2 linked regions of the Lonchura striata genome follow. The protein of the gene in region 1 interacts with the protein of each later gene in a biochemical or structural test. Links are inferred from orthologs where the notes say so. Each region holds a gene or a part of one and is shown on either strand. Other genes may lie near its edges.

Region 1 (10,369 bases):
TCTGTGAAGAAATACTTCCTAATATCCAACCTAAACCTCGCCTGGTGCAGTGTAAGATTATATATCTCCTCGTCGTATCACTGGTTGCCTGGGAGAAGAGCCTGACCTCCACCTGGTTACAGCCTCCTGTCAGGGACTTGTAGACAGTGACAAGGCCACCCTTATCACAGTGATAAGTACACCTTATGTACAAAGTACACCCCTGAGCCTCCTTTTGTCCAGACTAAACACCCCGCACTCCCTCAGCCACTCCTCACAGGACCTGTGCTCCAGAACCTTCCCCAGCTCAGCTGCCCTCCTCTGAGCCCGCTGCAGCCCCTCAATGCCCTTTCTGAGCTGAGCACAGCACTCGAGGCGTGGCTTCCCCAGCGCCGAGTACCCGAGGAGAATCCGCACGGAGACGCCGCGCAGCTTTTACCGACCCCTCGCCGCGGTGCCCCCGCTGCGGGGCAAAGCCCCCTCAGCGCCCCGGGGGGACGCGGCCCCGGCCCGGCCCGCGGGGTCCGTACCTGAGCGGCGGGGCCGGGCCGGCGCCGCGGGACTCCGGGATGCTGAGGGACCCCGGCCCGCCGCGGGACCCCGGGATGCCGAGGGACCCCGGGATGCCGAGGGACCCCGGGATGCCGCGGGACCCCGGGATGCCGAGGGACCCCGGGATGCCGAGGGACCCCGGGATGCCGCGGGACCCCGGGATGCCGAGGGACCCCGGGATGCCGAGGGACCCCGGGATGCTGAGGGACCCCGGGATGCCGCGGGACCCCGGGATGCTGAGGGACCCCGGGATGCCGCGGGACCCCGGGATGCTGAGGGACCCCGGGATGCCGCGGGACCCCGGGATGCTGAGGGACCCCGGGATGCCGCGGGACCCCGGGATGCTGAGGGACCCCGGGATGCCGCGGGACCCCGGGATGCCGAGGGACCCCGGGATGCTGAGGGACCCCGGGATGCCGAGGGACCCCGGCCCGCCGCGGGACCCCGGGATGCCGAGGGACCCCGGGATGCCGCGGGACCCGGGGATGCCGAGGGACCCCGGCCCGCCGCGGGACCCCGGGATGCTGAGGGACCCCGGGATGCTGAGGGACCCCGGGATGCCGAGGGACCCCGGGATGCTGAGGGACCCCGGGATGCTGAGGGACCCCGGGATGCCGAGGGACCCCGGGATGCCGAGGGACCCCGGGATGCTGAGGGACCCCGGCCCGCCGCCGGACCCCGGCCCGCCGCGTTGCCACGGCCACGGCGCGGCGGCGGGCCCGCCGCCATCTTAGAGCCCCGGCAGCGGCGCGTTGCAAAATGTGGAATTAGGTACAGATGTACTTCAGAAAGGATGTTTCTCGATCTCTGTACAGTTTCAAGCCTAAGCAACAATCAGGGCGATTTAACCCTGAAACATCAGCTAACGAGCAAAGTGTAAGTGGCGCCCAGGTGTTACAAAGGCGAATCTCAAATTGCCTTGTTAAGGTTTAGGGCTGGACTGTGTCCAGCCCTTCAGGGACCTCAGGCCTAGGGGAGGTTAATAAAAGGATGTAGCAGCGATAGTGGATGCAAAGGATGCAGAATTTATGTGCTGCAAGGACGGCCTGAAGCTGAGTTGGGAGAGGTTTAGGTTGAGATCAGGAAAAGGTTCCTCACCCAGAGGATGTTTGGGCGCTGGAATGGGCTCCTCATGGCAGTGGTAACAGCACCAAGCCTGACAGAGCTCAAGCATTTGTACATTTGTACAACACTTTCAGACACATGGTGTGACTCTTGTGGATGGTCCTGTACAGGGATAGCAGCTGGACTCAATGATCCTAGGGGGTCCTTGCCAATCCAGCATATTCTATGATTTTATGACATTTGGCAGAACCCCCAATATAAGGAAGAAACTCCTAAAATGCAGCAACTGTGCTCAATCAGCTCTGACTGGTAGAAGGTAATTCTGGCAGGGGCAGATTGTGACCACTGACCCAAGAAACTCACTGACCCAAAAGAAAAGACAGACTGAGCATGGATATCATTGACTAATAGAAGACAGAATAATAATTAATAAGAGAACTAGGGAATTTGTAACCAATGAACATTAATGCCTAATACCTAAAATAGTGAAACGTTTTGGTACTTGTGCTGGCTTTGTGGATTTGTCACCCAGCCCCCTTCTGTGCAAAACTGTAAATAAATCAAATCCCTTCACTCTGCATGGATTGGCTCCTTGCAGGCCAAGTGAAATAACCTGTTGTGGGACAACAGGGGGAGTGGGACTAGGGCCAGCTCCCTTGCTTTTTAAGGCTCCTACAGGCTCTGACAGGAGCTTCCAACCACAGCCCAGTGGCCACCAAAATCAGGTTTTAAGCCACTGCTGTTTCAGCAGGACAGTCTTGCTGTCACCTGTGGTCACACACTCTGCAGAAAAAGCAGTGGCAGAAGCCCCAGCCCTGTGCCAGTCACACTCAAGATGGTTAACAATGTTTTTAAGATTGTGCAAAAGCCTCTTCAGTGTTTTCCTTTTTGTACACACAATGTTAATTTAGGGTTAAAAATGAGCAAAATACTCCTTGTATCAGAAGAGGGAAAACAGAGTAATTCTAATCTAACTGACCTTAATAACCACAATACACACAAAATGTTGTCATCTCTGCATGCTACTCTATAGTTCATTGAATATATACTATATACAGTTTATACAATTGTATATACAGTATATAATCAATATACATTATATTCTAGATATACACATATCTAGAAGGAGTATACTGTATATTGCCTATAGCCAATGGATGCTTCAAAACTGTATATAATGAGGCTAAGGATTAAAAGCATCACAATATTTAGAATTTTTATCTCAATATTGTCAGGTTACACATTAGGAACAGATGAAAAGCTGCACAAACAAAAACACAGTGATATTTTTGGGGTGTTTCAAAGCAGTGCTAACCATTTTGATGTCTTTTCGAATTTGAATTTTTACTTACCAAGAATACTTTGCCTCTACACCTTGCTACACCTTAATTACCTTACATTTATTACCCAGAAGACTTAAAAAAATAAAATACCATGAATGAAATGCTGCTTATGAAAACACTTTTAAACTAAGAAGTGTCTTAATATCAGTTTGCATTAAGTTAAATTACTTGAACAATATTTTTTAGATGGTTGCAAATTTACACAGTCAAGTACATCTTTCGCAAAACCGTGCAGATCGATACATGCAAAATAAACAGGTATTAGACACACTAGCAAAGCCAAGCTTTAAAGATTAGGAATCAGGTTACCCCAGTGCAAAAGATCAGAGATGTGATGCTGCAATCTTTAAGAATGCAGTCACACAGTTTTGTATCTTATTCAACTCAAGAGATTTGTTTCAACATCTTTTTGAAGCCACATGCCTTGTTTACTATAATTATTCAGCACACTCAAGTCAGAAAACACTGAAGCACAAAGGAAGCTCACAGTTCTCCATCCCTTGGTCTTTGGGACTGCAAGTCTTTCTTGATTCATTTCCTTTAGATTTGAAGCTTCTGGCCTCTCTGCAAGGCAGGACACAATTTCCTCAGTAGAAGACACTGGTTTTAGGATGGGGTTTATGTGTTTAGAACATGTGATCAAGGGATCTGAAGTAGCAGACAGAGGTTATAAAATCCCTGGAAAAAGATTACAGCAGGCAACAAGCTCCAAGTTCTCCACAACAGGTCTTGCAGGCCTTGGCTTATTTCTTAAACATACCTGCTTTAAATTATAATTAAGTGCTTAGTCAAAGGTAATATTGAACAGGTAGAACAGGTGCCTTAGCGCCTGTTTACATTTAATATACAAGTTATTAACTTGTATTCTTATACAATTTATTAATTGTATTTTTCATACAGAATTTTCCATAACACTTATCAACAAAATATAATCCAAATCCCCTGAACAACGTGGGAAGGTTGTGGTGTGTTCCCTTACTTTACAAGGAAGAAGTGGAAAGATTATGGTAAAAGTTCCATAAAATGTGGGAGCTTCATTTCAGGTAAGACAATATTTTATTCCCTGCCCCTTGCCAAATAATGCTGTGTGTTGTTTTCAATTCCATCTATCCACAGCATTATTCCAAAAGCAAACAAATAAACTGGGATCTTCTGCACTTGGTCAGGTTAGATCCCAGGTGTGCAAGATGGGCACTCGGGAAACAAACCTGCGAGAAGTTTGGTGTGAGACTCTGAGATGCAGGAAAAGAGTCTGTTTTTTTAGGACAATTAATCCTCAACTCTGACTATGCAACATTGAGGAATTTTCACCAAAAAAAAAAATGAAGAAGTCCATCAGCAGTAACATTACCCCTGCTGTCACAACACAGTGGCGTGGAATTTCCCTTTGAATACTCAGTACCATTAAAAACAAAAAGGTCAGCACCAAACAGAGCAAAACTGAGCTCCAGTGCTCCAGAACAATTAAGCACCAGTCTGAGACTCTGGAATATAAGGCTCCAGGCCCAATTTATGATACATTTTAATGGGTTTGGGTTTTTTTTCCCCCACTTTATAAATATTGCTGAGATTTATTTTCCATATGATTCAACTAAAGCCATTTTAATTCAGTTCTAGGAGACCTGTTCCACAAATCTGCTAGATCCACAAATGCCAATGTTGAACAAAGCAGTCTCTGGCTAAACTGAGGGCATTTTTAGTGTAGTTAAAAAGTAACTTGTAACAAATCTGTATCTTAGTTTGCTGGTCTAGTCTCTGACATGAAAAGTACAGAGATTCCTTCCCGGAACCAGCAGCACTCGAGGGAGGATGTGGAATTTTGAGAGATCCCTCAGTGCAGTCAGGCTGCTGGAGCTTTAAGGAGAAAGAGAAAAGGCAGCAAATACAAGTCAGTTTCTCCACATATAAAGAATTTAGGCTTCTTCTGGTTATACTGCATTTCTGAAATTCTACATCTGTGTCACTTGTTTAATTTTACTTCAATACAAAACTGCAGCATCTTAAAGAAATTCAAAGTAACACCCACGCACCACTGACACGACCCAGCAGCACTTACGGGAGCGAACTCATTTGCGCACCACAAAAGCGAGTTTACTAAAGAAGCGGAGCCGTACTTGTCTTTGCCGGGCTGTCACTGCTGCCGGGCTTGGACACCAATCCCACCAGGGATGCGGACTTCAGGGCGCTGCCATAGCTCAGCGCCAAGTTTTCCGAGGCTTTCCTGGCCAGAGACAAGATAGGAGCAGACCACCGCGCTTCCTCCGGTTTCGCCTTCTCCTCGTTGCTCAGCTCGGCCGCGTCAGGGAGCTGCTTTTTGTCGATAATCTCAAAATCTTCCTCCTTTCCCGCGGCGGGCGCGGCGCGGCGCTCCCCGGCAGCCATCTTGGCAGGGTCACATGACCGCGGCTCGGGAGCCGCCCCCGCCGCGGGTGAGGGGCGGGAACCGGGCGGGTGAGGGGAGCGGCGGGAACCGGGAACGGGAACGGGAACGGGAACGGGAACGGGAACGGGAACGGGAACCGGGAACGGGAACGGGAACGGGAACCGGAACGGGAACGGGAACGGGAACGGGAACCGGGAACGGGAACGGGAACCGGAACGGGAACGGGAACGGGAACCGGGAACCAGGGACCAGGGACAGGGACCAGGGCAGGTCCCGCAGGCAGCGAGAAGCACCTGCACGCAGACGCAGGGCTGTAAGGCATGCCTGGCCAGGACAACACTTCCCTTGGTGTTCAGAGTTAAATGGCGTGGAAGACGACGAGTTTACCTTTGAACAACTTAGTAACAAAAAGTACAGGTTTTTACTGCTGTCTGTGTCCCCAGACATAATTTTCAATAAAAAAATTAATGTGTTTTGACGGCTCAGATTTACACAGTTAGATAGAGACAGCTTAACGAGGTCCCCGTTGCTCTGCCTTGTGAATCACGTCGTTGTGATTTAAAGGGGAGGATTGGTATGACAGGTGTGTGCTGCTGTGGAAAGGCATTGTCCTCGTCACTGACATGGAAACACAACTACACAGTAAAGCCGCTTCATTAATGTGCATGGGCTGGGTTTGGTAGAAAAATACATCATGAAGGGGAACTGAAATAATTCCACTATGAAAATTCGATCTTGCCGTGTGCCTCAAATATTGACGTAGCCTACTGATGTATGGCTTGTTAACTTTTTCCATGCAGCAGCTGCGTGTGCTTGAGATATGTCACTCGTTTAGTCACGAGGTAGTAGATGCTGTGTATGAGCTTTTTATGCTACATAGAGGGAAGTCTTTTGGGTGATTTTTTTTTCTTTTGGGTGATTTTTTTTTAAGAAAAAAAATAGGAGAAGGAGGCTAGAATAGGAGACTTGAAGGTCAATTTCTTTAGTCTTGCAGCAATAGAAATCCTCTGGTCTATATATGTATTTTTTCTTAATATAAGCTACTTTATGATCGGGTCTTGACTTCTTAGATACTGAAAATTTAACAACTTGCACAAAGCACACGGAAGCTCTTTTATTTTTGTTGAGAATTCAGCGATCAGCAGCCTCTTATTCACCCATGATTCAGATGAGCTAAGTATAGGCTTTAAGCCACTTTTGCTAAAGCCTGCTAGAGTTAAGTTCTGCTCCATCTTGTGGTCTCCAGCAGTATTGGGCTGTTCATAAGGAAATAGCTCAGCTCTGTAGGTTTCTGTCTTGCCCTTGAATATATGAATAAACCTCTTGACAGGAGTGAGACATTATAGTATTTTTCTGCCTTCCATTAACTACCCAATATTAGAGTCAGGGTGGAGAAGGTAGTCTTGACTAGAAGCAGAATTCTAAGCATTAAAATATTTTTTCCCCCAATGCATCTGAAGAATAGGGCATAAAAGTTCTGTGACTGAGAACATAAGAGTTAATCAAGGCTCTTCTTTACCTCATTATGTTACTCCCTTAAGATAACGATGCCTCAGACTCCTCTTTACAGCCTTACAATGAGCTATTTTGTAAAAATATGAAGTGAAGCTATCACATAGTTGCAATCATATTTTCTTATGTTACTATTAAAAAAACATTTGACAATTTTATTTCAAGTGTCTGATGAGGAAAAGTTATACTGTGCATAATAAATGTACTCAAACTTTTGTTACACATGATTTAATTGTTTCACTTACTACTATTTGGTCAAAATTACTTAATCAGCCACTGTTTGCTTTAAATGCCCTCTGTCCTCACACTTCTTATTTTAAAGCAAATAAGAAGTCTTGTGACATTGTAAGGGAGCCCTAAGTTAAAGAGATTTGTTTCGTTTACGAAGTACAATTTCCTAAGGAATCATTTGTGGCAGCCAAGGAGAGTGAAGTTAATACAGAATACAGCTTTAAGCACATTAAATAAAAATTGAAGAAACTCAAAACCAAAAGTGATGTAACTTTGGTTTCAGTTCACTGATTTTTCAGGGAGGGGCACTATGCATGAATAACTTTGATTACTTTTAGCTTGGAGATCGGGCTTGTTTTGGTCTTCTGCAGATGATGGTATTTCACCACTCTTTTCTTTTTGCAGACCACTGATCCAGCTCTTGCTACTCTTGTGAAGATGAACAATATTTTCTTTTGAAAGCCCATTTTTGTGGCTAGTTTTGGTCTGCCATAAATGTCAGTTCTGTGTAATCACAAAAATACTTAGAATAGTTAGGACTCATTGAAAAGCTAGGGGACTAAGTGACCTACTTACTACTTTTTTCTTTTCCTAACCCTAAAAAATAAGGTGTTTCTAAAGAAAAAAAAATACCATTATGAAGCTGAGATAAATACATTTCTGTTCTTTTTTTCATGCAATCTTGCATAGCCTTGTTTGGTTTTACTGACCCCCTCTTCTCTATCTTCTTATGTGACAGGATAAAAACTCACTTTTGAAATACTTAAAAAATAATGAATTCAAAGTGTAGAAAATATAATCCTGGAAGAATTTCTATTTTAATCAGGAAATTGTACAGGAAATTTAATACAAATGTCTGGCTAGCAGAATGAAAGATAATTAAAAAAAACCCCAAACCCTCAACCATTTCCACGTCCATGAATGAATTCTTCCCTTATAACAGTGATTAAGTAATTAGAGACAAAAGTTTTAGCTGTTGTTCTACCTCTGATGCAGCTAATTAGTTATTTTCCTATCACTTGTAATCAAAGAGGTGTTTGAAGAAAACCAAACTTCCAAACATACTTCTATTGAATAAAATAATTTTTGTAATTTCAAAGCCACAACTTTATGGTCCCTGACCCCACTGCACCAACTAGTGCCATCCTTGCATCAACACATTGGTAATGACAGAATCAGCTGTTTGAAACTTCTTTCTAAAATCATTAGTGTCCCTAAGAGGACATGGAAATATTTATAGCTGGAAATGTGTGTCATTGTAGTAAATAAAGGAAAAGACAGTAAAATATGGAAGAGAAACTTGCATTGAGATGTTGGCATAGAATCAAAAGAACAGTAGCTCACTCAGTAAAGTTTAAATCAGTTAAGACCAAACACCCACCAGATACATATTGAATGACAGTCTGAAGAAAAGTCCAGGATATTTATTGTTCTACTCTGAACTATTGCCTTGTTTTTAGAAAAAATACCTTTCAATAGGAGTGTAGTGAACTAGAATGTGGAGTATGAGAAAGAAGGTAAAAAACACACACTGATTTTCATTTAGTTATTTAACATTCGTCTCTGTAAAAAGAGGCAGGGGCAGAACTTCCCAGCAGGTGACACTATGGCACCGCTTTTTTCAAGAGCAGCCTCTAACGCCCTGCAAACCCCACATCCTGAGAAAATACCGGAGAGCTCCAGGAAAAGAACCAAACTGAGATGCTCATCGGAGCGACCCCTGAAGCTGCTCTGTGACAGCGGCTGTGCCAACAGAGACCTCCTCTCCTCTCCTCTCCTCTCCTCTCCTCTCCTCTCCTCTCCTCTCCTCTCCTCTCCTCTCCTCTCCTCTCCTCTCCTCTCCTCTCCTCTCCTCTCCTCTCCTCTCCTCTCCTCTCCTCTCCTCTCCTCTCCTCTCCTCTCCTCTCCTCTCCTCTCCTCTCCTCTCCTCTCCTCTCCTCTCCTCTCCTCTCCTCTCCTCTCCTCTCCTCTCCTCTCCTCTCCTCTCCTCTCCTCTCCTCTCCTCTCCTCTCCTCTCCTCTCCTCTCCTCTCCTCTCCTCTCCTCTCCTCTCCTCTCCTCTCCTCTCCTCTCCTCTCCTCTCCTCTCCTCTCCTCTCCTCTCCTCTCCTCTCCTCTCCTCTCCTCTCCTCTCCTCTCCTCTCCTCTCCTCTCCTCTCCTCTCCTCTCCTCTCCTCTCCTCTCCTCTCCTCTCCTCTCCTCTCCTCTCCTCTCCTCTCCTCTCCTCTCCTCTCCTCTCCTCTCCTCTCCTCTCCTCTCCTCTCCTCTCCTCTCCTCTCCTCTCCTCTCCTCTCTTCTCCAGACAGTTTTGTATCAAGTACAATTTGTAAGGTTTTATAAAAGTGCTGTAAATTGACTTGACCGAGGGTCATAGGGTCAAGGGAATTATAGTAAGATATGAATGCAGTATTTTTGAAATGTGCTGACATTTTTGCTACTTAAAGCAGTTTTCAACTTACACACATGAGAATACTTATATGTGACTTAATTAGCTGAAGAAATGGGCTCATATTGCTCTAGTGTAACAGAAATTATGCAAATTGCAGAAGAAAATGTTGTTAGTTATTATATCAACCAATGAAATACATTATATACTCCCTAGACAAGTTTAGAAAAATACCTTTTTGCTTTACAAAACATAAATAATTAAATTAACTGTTAGCTATTTTAATCATCTGTTTCAAAAGCAAATTTTGGAAGTTCATAAACATTTAATCCATTATCCATAAACTAAATAACATTTAGGTGCTTGCATGCAGTTCCGGTGAAGTGCACTCTTGCACTTGAGGGCGCAGTGTGGCACCAACTAGCTCAGGTTTCTCCACAAAGAATGAGATCTTATGAGTGAGTCCACTTTGTAAAGTGCAGGACACAAAAAGTTGGAAAAAGTGCAACAAGTAGTGTGATAAATGCAAATCCTGGTTTTCTGCTGCCTTTGATTTTCTCATTTTCTGATTTCTCTATGAGTGACGCTGCATACTAATTAGTAAGATATTTAGAGAGCTTAAACCAAAAGTGAAGTCAATAAATCTTTAGCTAGATTTTTCATTGTTTTAAAGAGAAAAAATATCTTCTTTCCTTTCTCAGAGTGTTTTTCCTTGCAGATCTGTACTTAAATTTGGTACACCACACTAAGGGATAACTCCCAGACCTTTTGATTCAATAGGAATTTTTGTAGGGTGAAAAAGGGAAAAAAATGTTTTAGGGATTTAAAAAAGGACCTTAATTATTGACAGAATCAAAGGGAAACCTGAGTTTTTGGTTAATGCAGGTGTGCAGCTCAGCTTCACCATGTCTGTTATCAGC
Region 2 (10,612 bases), on another chromosome or scaffold:
TTCTTTTTCTTCTCCAGCACGGTAAACTGGGCACACAAAGCACGTGTTCCTGCAGGACCCTTCACCTGCCACCTCCTTTGTGGGCAGGGCAGGAGCACCACGCCCACAGCTCAGCTCCATGTGATGGCACACAGGGCTCAACTGGGGGTCCTTGAGGCAACTGGAAATATAAAACAAAGTTTGAACAAACTGATCCATACATGCAAGTGGTTCAGGAGAGCAGGAACTGCCCTGTTTTCCACAGAGAACAGCTGGGTGTTACAGCCACAAGACGCCAAGAGCACCAATATGCACCAAAGATCTCCTGTGCATTCTGAGGATGGAAATGTCCAGTAACTTATGCTGTTAAAAACCCCAACCAAACCAACCAGCACCATGAACTCTGAGACAGGGAACCAAGCATCTGTGTGGCTATGAAACCAGCCTGCATGCCCACTCTTCTTCCCAAGACCAGGAGGCCAAGGAATGCCAAGTACTCCCAAACACAAGGAAGTTTCGTGTTTCTGAGCACATGACTTTAGGATAGCACTGTGTGGTAAACAATGTTGTACTGCTCTGCTGTTCCAACCAGGAGGGAAATGCATCCTGCTTTCCAAGTCAGGAAAGTGAGGAGGACTTTTTTTAAAGCATGAACACATCAGGAACTCAGTGCAGTCTCTGTCACAAACTGAATTTGAAGCGAGTCTCAACTAGATCTTCATTGCTAAATATACAGCTGTTTGCCAGACTGTTTCTGCTTGCTGAGATATGCCCATTTTCATTATTCCCTCTAAGTAAGAAAGTAAGAAACTATGCTATTTCAATGCAAAAAACTACTGGTATTACATTTATTGCAAGGGTCACATTACAGAAAAGATTCTGAAATACTCCAAACCATTAGTAAAGGTCAGGAATGTTTTCTGGAGAACAGATGATTCCTTTAAATAAAAAGTCAAATAAAAACCCAAGCAACACTAAAACAACCAAATAACAAAATTTTAAACACTCAAATTCCAATAAGGATTAGCAGGAATTCAAACTGTACTCAGATCTTGGAATAGAAGTGATATTCCACAAGGACTCTGTGCTGAAGGAGAAAAAAAAAATGCAACTAACTAAACACAGAAACCCCGCTGAGAATTTAGCCTTGGAAAACTGACCACCTCAGCATTTACTGCAGACGAAAGAAGGAAGTGCAGACAAGAACAGGGCACAAGAGGGGTCAGTAAATTCTAAACTATCAGCTACATGTCAATGCAAGGGCTTGATGCCTTGATAGGCATCGCCCCTCTGCAGGAACTCAAGTTCTGCCTCCACCCCCTGTCCCACACACGTGAATCTCAGTAATTCCAACCGGGGGGAATGGGCTTTCCCCCTGGGAGGGCAAGAACTGCAGGGCTGAGAAAGTTGCACATAAATATCCAGAGCTCAGCCTCGCCACTGCTGGCACTGTGCCACCCGAGTTAACCAGCCATGAGTTTCCTGCTAACAGAAAGCAGAAGTTTAGTCTGGGAGCTTGGCCTACCTGCCATCCTTCTTCCAGGAGAGGCTGCCAGCCCAGCCCCGGCTGCCTCCTCCCAGGTACGGCTGCCCTGGAGCCCAGAGCATTAGTGCAGGATGGCCACTGGCCAGAGGAGCTCACTGAGTACAGACTGATGCTCATTTCAAAGCCTATACAATTCATTTCTGCATTACATTAAGACTGGACATTTTACAGTGAGCAGTGTCACCAAATCCATTTCCCATATATCAACTTCTTCTTGGAGGCTTTTTTTGGAAAATAAAGTTAAAGATGACCTTAATGAGACACCAGTACATGTACATCTCCTTCTCTAATCAACAAGCACCACACAGATATTTAGAAATCTCACTGAAACCTTATTTCAAGTATCAGCTACATCTGTACTTCCCGAGATAAGATTGTTCTGGGCACACTGCTGTAACATTCTTTATCACAGTAACATAACCTGTAAATATCAGATGCATACCAGCCTTTGTGAGATCTGTGCATTTCCTTCCAGTTCAAAGACATAGTTTTAACTCTTCACTGGATATCACTTGCACTAAGAAGTTTATTATCTTTATACTCAACAAGAAGCAGGTGTGTTATAAGGGAGACCAGAACCTGCATGCAGAGGGCTTTTCAGATACTGCTGTGGTTCATTCCACCAGCTGATGGATGGTCCATGTGCAGGGATGAGAGCTGGGGAAAAAACTACCACCTCCAAACTCAGCACTGCCCAGCTGTTCCTGGTTCCCTGCAAAGGACAGAACTCTGCAGCCAGGGAACCACTGGGAGCTACTCTGAAGCAAAAAGCATTTTGTAGTCTCTCTGGGCAGCCAGGTGTTCTGTGCATCATTCCCCAAGGATGTGCAGTACTAAAAGCTCTCACAGTTGAATCTGTAGATTATTTAGATGTTAATTAACAGACAACAATAAGATTGGTAAGGGGGAGGAGCTGGAAAGAGGTAGAATTGTTTCATTTTGTAATTGCACTTTTCCCCTGATAAGACTTTTGTCAAGCACACAGAACAATGTGGTTCAACTGGTACCTGACCTCAGCAGGCTACTAGAAACAGTCTGTGAGTGCTTCAGTTATGGTCACCTGTCAGATAACAGCACACTGAAGGTAACAACAGCTCTGCTATCAATTAATTCACCAAAGCACTGAATTCCCATAGGTCTGTTGTCCACAGCACTCCATGAGGTCTGCTACAATTAAATTCCACTGTGGTTCTCTGGCTTTCACACACCAAGGACATTCAGGTCTTCCTCAACCACATCAACATCTCAGCCCTCTTTAAGATGATGCTCTGCAGCCACTGTGCTCTGCTTATTTATTCATTTTTGCAGGCTTGGCTTTACAAAGCCCTGCTGAGCCTGATTCCTGAGGAGTTTCAGAGCCTGCTGCAGCCTTCACACCTGTCTGACAACATCACTTGTTGCTGGCCAGTTCCTTACTCATCCCTCAGCTCTTCCAGAGTCATCCTCCCTTGCTTCCCCCTCTTGGATTTCACCAAAGCAGCCAATCAGCACAAGACAGGAAATTTGGCTCAGCTGATCTCTGCTCACCCAGCAGCCTCTGGGAGCTGCTGTCCAGGATCACTTTGCATTTCCTTACTACTCCCACCTCCAGTTACTCTTTCCCTGAGAGCACACGAGGCCTGCAGGCTCTGGGGCTCAGACTGCAGCCCTGCAGAGCCCTTTCCAGGCTGTTCTTGAAGAAATGCATTTGCTGTGTTCCCTAATCACATCAAACACCTTAGCCCAGCCTGAGGCCTAGGAGGTTCTTCTAAAGGCTTCACAGGCCTTCACTTCTCCTTCCTCCAGGAGAGCTTCATTTTTCTTTTTAAATCAAAGCTACCTAACACACTACCTTCACTTTCTGACTTTCCTCACCAGCTCTCCAGTCACATCCACGTTGTCCTGGTTATCATTCTGCTGGTTTCACATCCTGCTTCATTAAGTTACTCCATTTTGCTTCCTGCATTTATACATGCACACTTCAATTCTCCCTAACCACACCCCAGCAGCAGAGCTGAACTAATCACTGCCTACCCGTCCTCATCAGCTCGAGCACCTTCTGCCATGTCCCTCCCCACAGCCACCCCTTATCCACTTGTATTTCCTCACTTATCCTACTCTTCTCTTCCTACAGAACACTCCAACCTGTTGCATGTCTGTTCCCAGCAGGAGAACCAAGGTCCAGAGGTAAATTTGGGACAGAATATAGAAAACCAGAAGAGTTTTCTGTCATTCCAATAAATCAGAACACTCTGGAGTCACCACCTAGGAAAACACAAGTCACAGACGTTTTAGGTAAATATTAACTAAGAGCTACCTCCTGTTTCAGGAAGATTCAGCAAAATGAGAATCAATCTTAATCAGGTTTCATTAGATGCCCAGAAGTGAGCAGGTAATTTTAAAGTATTATTTACATTTTACATCCCAGTAACTCCAGTAGAACAGGTTTGTTTCCAAACTGCTGTCCTTCATAAGAACTCCTCATTTTTTTGTTACTCATAAAATGGAAAAGAGAACTTCTTCCTTGCACTCAGACTTACGACATTTTTAAATCCCTACAGGAAGCTAGCAAATTCCTTTATAAACCACATTAAATTGTGACATTTAGTAATTAAGCTGCCCAAGGTATTTTCTTCCCATCAGCAAGTACTGCCCAAGCACAAGGGCTCTGCAGTCCAAACCAGGACAGGAATCAATCCCAGGCAATACACTCCACAGGATAACACCTGTAAAAGATGTGACTTGGGATTTAGGACACAGCCACCCTGAGGAATCCTGTTCACTAAGGGGCTCTGTCACCTCTGAAAAACATCCCAACACAGATCCACCCTGTTTTAAAGCAAAAGCCACAGCGAGTAACCTCCAGAGGCACTCCAGTGCAGACACCCACCTTTCTCTGGCTTTACTGCCACGATAATTCAGCACAACTCCAATTCAAGACAAAGCTACCAACAGATGTTGTGGATACTTCGTGTGCTGCAAACAGGCAATAAACAATTGGAAAGGAAATAATTTCGCTCTCTTTAGCCTCAATAAGCTTTGACAAAAAAAAAAAAAAAAAACAGTCTAGAATACTTTCGCTGCTTTCTCAAATAGGAAGTGGCTTTTCCCTCAACCCTCAAAGTTATTTTTCTGTCAAAGTTCATGACGGCACAGGTCAATAGAACAATTAAAAGCAGAGATAACGCTGCACATCGGCCACATACACGGCACAATACACACATACACACCCTCCGTGCAACTGCAACAGCTCGTAAGGGGGAGATACAGAACACACATATAAAAATATCGCCGGTGTTGCTGGCGGCGGTGCCGAGGAGCGCTGGGAGGCGGCGGTGCCACAGAGCCAAGCGGCCTAGTCCTGCCCGCAGCCTCCCCCCGCTCAGCCCGGCCGCCCCTTCCCCTCGCTGCCGGCCCCGGGCCCGCCGGGCCGCGCCTCGGGGCGGCCCCGGGACGGAGCGCGGCCGACCGGGACCCGCCCCGGCCCGCGGAGCCGCGGCGCGGGGCCTGGCGCTGCAGCGGCCCGGCCGGGCGGGCCGTGCCGGCGCGCCGTACCTGTGCTCGGGGCTCAGGGAGCGGTGCAGCGCGGCCGTGCGGGCGGTGCCCGGTGCCCCCGCGGGCTGTGTGGCTCGGCTCGCTCCGGGCTCGCTGCGCTGCCTCAGACGCGGCTCCGCTGCGCCCCCATCACCCCCGCAGCCAAGATGGCGGCGCCCCTCGCACGGGGTTTCCCCTCCCACTCTCGACGGGCGCCGGGGCCGCACAAAGAGTGGGCGCGAGGGCGCCGCGGCGCAGCCAATCACGGCGGCCGCTGCGCGGCGGGGCGGGAGCGCGCGCGGGGCGGGGCCGCGCGGGGCGGGGCGGGCGCGCGCGCCCTCAGGCGGCGGCGGCGGCGCCTCAGGGCGGAGCGGGGCCGCCGGCGCCGCGGAAAATCCCGGATTTCCGCGCTGTTCTCCGGGAAAACGGCACGGAAGCCAACAGCGACCCGCCCGGAACCCCCAGCTCGCGGGGCAATGGTGAGAATGCACGGCCCGGCGCGGCGCAGGTACGGGGATGTCGCGCCCTGAGGGGCTCCGGAGGTCCCCGTCTGTCTCCAGGAGCAGCGCCCGGTGCTTGGCAACGTCCCGTGAAATGCTCGAAGGTGTTCATTTGGCCTTTGAATAATTTAAATCAGCTTTTTAAACACTCGTGGCATGCGAACCTCAAGACCTAAAAGCGCAACGTACTGCCCAAATCTCACAGTTCACGGGATTTAAAAAATAAATCAGCGGTTCGGGAGGTGTAAAAGTATATCAATAAATTTCCCCAATAAGGATTTTGTTTCAATTCCAAACATTACAGCAAATATCAGATTCTGCTGTGGGTCACTGTCCAAGATTTAAATTTCAGCTTCCCCACTGCCATAACATTTCTATGGAACTATTTTCACATGGGCATTTTCCATCTCCATTACTGTGACATTACTAATTCCATTTCCTTAGTTGAGCAACAGCCAGGGAATCCTCTGCTTTCCATGAATCAGCCACCCCCTAATTATTACTCAACCTCTGCCAGGGAGAAACTGCATGGTAGATAACACTCCCTGTTATCTGGGCAGAAACTTCATAGAGTAAAAAGCACTGAAGAAAAACAATTAGAATTCTTTTCCCCTTTATCTACATGCTAAACAAATCTCTGAGTGATAAAAAGCAAAGATTCAACAGAAAAATACAAAATCTGCTGGCAATGTAGTAAAGATGTAGGACTCCTGTCACTTATTGTCAGGGTTCTAACTTCAAAACTGTGCAACAGAACCCTTTTCAAGTTTTGCAGAACCTTATATGGAGTGACTTTTGCTAGAAAAATAGGTCAAAACGAGCCAGTGAGAATGATTTCCACGAGAGGGAGTCTTTAAACGGAAAATGACCTGACTGTTGTGACACAATTGCAGTCTGGTTTACTGACTTGAGAAAAGCACACTTCCCTGGTACTGTCCCAGATATTATTCTGTTAACACAGGCACTGCAATGAGAGGTTTTCTAATTCAGAATCGTTCAGATATCACACACCAAAATACATTGAGGATTTCTCTATCTATGGCTCAGTGTTGGTAGCGTCAGGCAGGCAGGGTGAGTTTGCGTGTTTTTACAAGAGGGAATCATACAGGTAATTATTGCTGTCATCCATGGGAAGGGCAGTGGGGGCACAGCCTGCCCGGGGTGGGAGTGGCTGGTTGGAGCTGCAGCTTCTTTTCCAGGGGGAATTGCAGCCAGCCCTCTCCCCCAGGCAGGCACAGGCTCCTCGGGTTTGCGCCTCTCCAGTCACAGGGTGGCACTTCCCCCTGCAGAGCCCACGGAGACACCTCAGGATTACTCAACAACTCGGAAAATCCCTTTAATCTGGAGCCTGGTTTATTTAATTGTGAACAGAAATGAGAAGCGGTTTGGGGATAGAATTATTTTGTTTCTTACCTGCAACAAAATGAAAAGCCATTATCTAAATGTGAGCAAGATTTAGCTTTTAAACGGAAATTCCCAAATATATTTTATCTAAAACTGCCTTCCTTTCTGAGGTGATGTAAAAGGCAATACAGATTTGCTTCAAAGCTCCTGCTTTTATATGCTCTGCTCAAATATTCCTACAAAGTTTAAAGTTAACAGAAGACATGAGCGAGGAGGATGGAGTAACAGCATCTGCATTTCTTTGGTTCTTTATTCTTGTGAGTGCTTGAAAGCCTGCAGCAGTTTTTCAACAACAGTTATTGAGAAAAGGCTGACTTCAGCCCATTCATTGTGAACATCTGGACAGAACCTAACAACAGTAATTAAAACCCACTAAATTGGTAACAATACCAAATTGCCAGGGATGGAATCCTCCTCTGTGGTCCCACCCTTCCCTGTGGATTTCTGCTGGGTCAGTCCACTCTTGAAAAGCCTTTTCCACGTGTCTCTTTCTGTCAAGAGGGAGCAGCATCCAAATTTTCTGGTCACATGAGCCTTGCTCTTGGGTTTATTTCTGTACCACAAACTCCAGGAAAAGTAAAGACTGAGTTAATGCAGTTGGTAGAAGGCTTGAGGATTTTCTTCTTTGCAAATAAACTACACAGAGTGATCTGTAGGATCAGCTTCCTTCTTTAGAATGCATCCTTGTAAGAAAATAAACCTAAATATAATTAAATTACACATCAGCTTTCATTAAGAGTGTGGGATTGAATGGAATTTTTGTCTGCAACACTCTTTTCCCTAAGGACAGCAGTAAGCAGGCCAGACTGTCAGAATTTAAACTGTCAGGCCACAAACAGGCAATAAAAAGTCAGGTTTCTCTGTCTGTCATCTTCCCCCGAACCCCAGCTTCATCTTCTGGCTTTGCTCAAGTTTCTCTAGACAGAGAGAGGGGAGAAACACAAGATTTTTCAGGAACTAGTTTGAAATGCACGTCTGTGGGAGTCGATCACGTAACGCTGGATTGGTCACAGATGACTAACTGGTCTTTACTTGTATTTTATTTTTGAGTTGCCCAGTTCTCCTTTCATCTCTTACCATTTCAGTTTTGTGGTGTCTGTAGAAATATTCCTGTGGTCAAGGTTTTTTTTTTAGTTCCTTCTTTATCTTTTTTAGTTCCTTCATCTCATGTAAAACAGGCAGTCCAAGCCCATTGGCACTTGTACAGCCTCAAAGCTTCAAATTAAATTGATTAATAATAGAAGAACATTTGGGCCAATGGTAATTCTGGTGTCAGTAGATGCAGCTCAGCTGGATTCTCTCTGTCAATATTTTGTGGGAATGGCAGTATGGAATTGAAGTGTACCCCTTTCCACAGGAACTTCAACATTAATATTGAGGAATACTTCCAAATACATACAGCAGCGAGCTCCCTTGATGGGTCAGTGCTCACCATGACTCCTTCTATCCTGACTGAAGCTAAATCTGAGCTTTACTGACTTCATTTGGCTTATTTTGGAGTTCACCTTTCAACTCTGATCCCTTGAGCGTAATCCTCAAGCATTCATACTTCGATGGGTCCTTAGCAAGTAGCTTATATTTTAGCACAAAACCAAACTGTAGCAATAGAAATGCCTGCAAAATACCAGCATCTGCTTTTCAAAGGCATGCAAGTGCTGTGGTTTCCTGGCTGACAGGACAACATGCCCAGAGACCAGATCCTGGCAGTGGTGAAAGGCTTTGTGAGTCAATCATCTTGCACAAGGCAGGAATTGATCCACACAGAGCTGCTTCTGGACAGAAAGCAACCTCTGGAGCTGACAGCAACAACCTGGAGGGGTTTGTGCCCCACCTCAAGGTGTCTCCTTGCTGAAGGACTTTGCAGTGCCACAGCACAAGGCTCCCTAAAAACTTTTCTGTCCTTCTCATCAATCACAGTGATTTCTGACACCAAGAGACTCTTGGTTCTGCTCTGTGTGGTTCCAGATCTCACTCTCTGCACTGAGAGGTTACTTCTTGGAAAGAAACTCCCTCTAATGCTTCAGCATGCCAAGGTCACTTTTCTATCCTCAACAGCACAAGGGTAGCTGCATTTCCAGCTGAATAGTGGAAACAGGGACCTAAAATTTCCATGGAAACATTGCAATTTAACAGCACTTAAAGTAATTGAACACAGTGTTTTCAAAGGGCTAAGTCATTTTGCATTAATCATATTTGAGGGACAGGTGAAGAATTTTTGGTTTAGCTATGTAATGATGTTACAAATGCATGATAGGATGTGAACATGATGCAGAACATCAAGTAGATGAGTTACTGTGTGATTGTGCAGTGTCAGTGCCTCTGTAAAGGATGTTCCCGATTTAATGAAAGGTTTGGTTATGCACAGCTCTCCCAGACTTCAGAATCAAATTGGCAGATGGTTCTTAGCCCACCTAAAATGTTCTGGTTAATAATGTTCTCATACACAAAAGCGTAACAAAAAACTTCTTCAGTTATAGGCATGACAGAGGAGAAATACCCACCACTGGCTTTGTGAATAACCATGTCTTTGTTCCACACAATTCCAGCAGCAACTGGGGGCATTGTTGGTGGCATAGAAACCATTTTTGTGAGAACCCACTGCAGGGTGGCACTGTCTCGGTACAGTGCTCCTCTCAAGAGCACAAGACAGTTCTCCGATTACATGATGGAGAGAGTGAAAGAAAACAACAGCTGGCTGTGGCCTGCCTGCCTGGCTTAGATTTACCACTACTCACTGGTAGTGTTGAGGAAAAACTCCATAAAAAAGGCAAGGAGTTAGAAATTTCTATTGTTTCTGAGTGCGGTTGGAGATGTCTGACTCGCTCTCAGATGTGTTTTTACATACAATGTTTCACAGAAAATGCTTCCTGCTAAATTGCTCTGAAGGATCATGTTCCTTTCTCAAACTTCAAACACAACAACCACGGGAGGGATGACTGTGCTCTGTGTGATATTCCCAAGCACATGAGCCATAAGGTCCATGCCTTTATGTGTGTACTTAACAATGTTCAAGTAATTTATTGTTACACCAAACTTCTTAGGAGCTTAAATGGGTTACCTAACCAACAATTATGAATTGTTACCTGTGTCAGCCCAATTTGTTCCCCAGATCTCTACTCACACAGTGCCCAGGGGCACTCACTGTGGTGAGGGAGATGTTCTGAGGGACACTGAGCATCAGAACCAGGCTTTGCATGGCTCAGGGCCCAGAAGAGATCTGTACACGCTTATCTGTGCACCCACACCACAACTGGCGTGCAGGACAGGGTGACTATAAATAGGGGACAGGAAGGAAGAGGTCACTGGCCTGCAGGGCACGGCAGCGCTGGTCCCAGCAGTGCTGCCCGGGATCAGGGTGTGCACGGACACACTGACAGCTCCCAGCCACGGGGATGGGTTACTGGCACATCCCACACTGCATCCTAGAGTGATGTTTGAGTAATGGCTGTCATCCACAGAGACTGTGCTACAGGCCCCCTGTGCGTGTGCTTTGGTGCGGGCATACCAATAACTGCATGAAGATTACAAAACAATGAAATTCACGTAACGAGGCATTAAAACATTGTCTGGCATTGACGGGATGGGGACATGTGGCAGCCGAAGGGCAGGACAGACCTGGCCGTGGTGGCCGAGGGGCTGGGCGAGTCCAGCCCCACTGGGGCCAGGGGCA

The links.
Region 2: the proteins of RUFY1 (region 1) and RAB14 form a complex in vitro, tested with the Homo sapiens proteins (2 studies listed by BioGRID). The link is inferred for Lonchura striata from reciprocal best matches to the Homo sapiens genes RUFY1 and RAB14.

The regions. Positions count from the first base shown.
Region 1 is NC_134617.1:6,872,071-6,882,439, forward strand, and holds the start of RUFY1 (RUN and FYVE domain-containing protein 1), read right to left. Parts: upstream 5,451-10,369; 5' UTR 5,322-5,450; coding exon 5,054-5,321; exon of another isoform or gene 3,437-5,053; coding exon of another isoform or gene 3,427-3,436; intron 1-3,426. UniProt on the Homo sapiens protein: Activating adapter involved in cargo sorting from early/recycling endosomes. Regulates retrieval of proteins from endosomes to the trans-Golgi network through interaction with the dynein-dynactin complex.
Region 2 is NC_134624.1:9,481,239-9,491,850, forward strand, and holds the start of RAB14 (ras-related protein Rab-14), read right to left. Parts: upstream 5,249-10,612; 5' UTR 5,060-5,248; intron 1-5,059.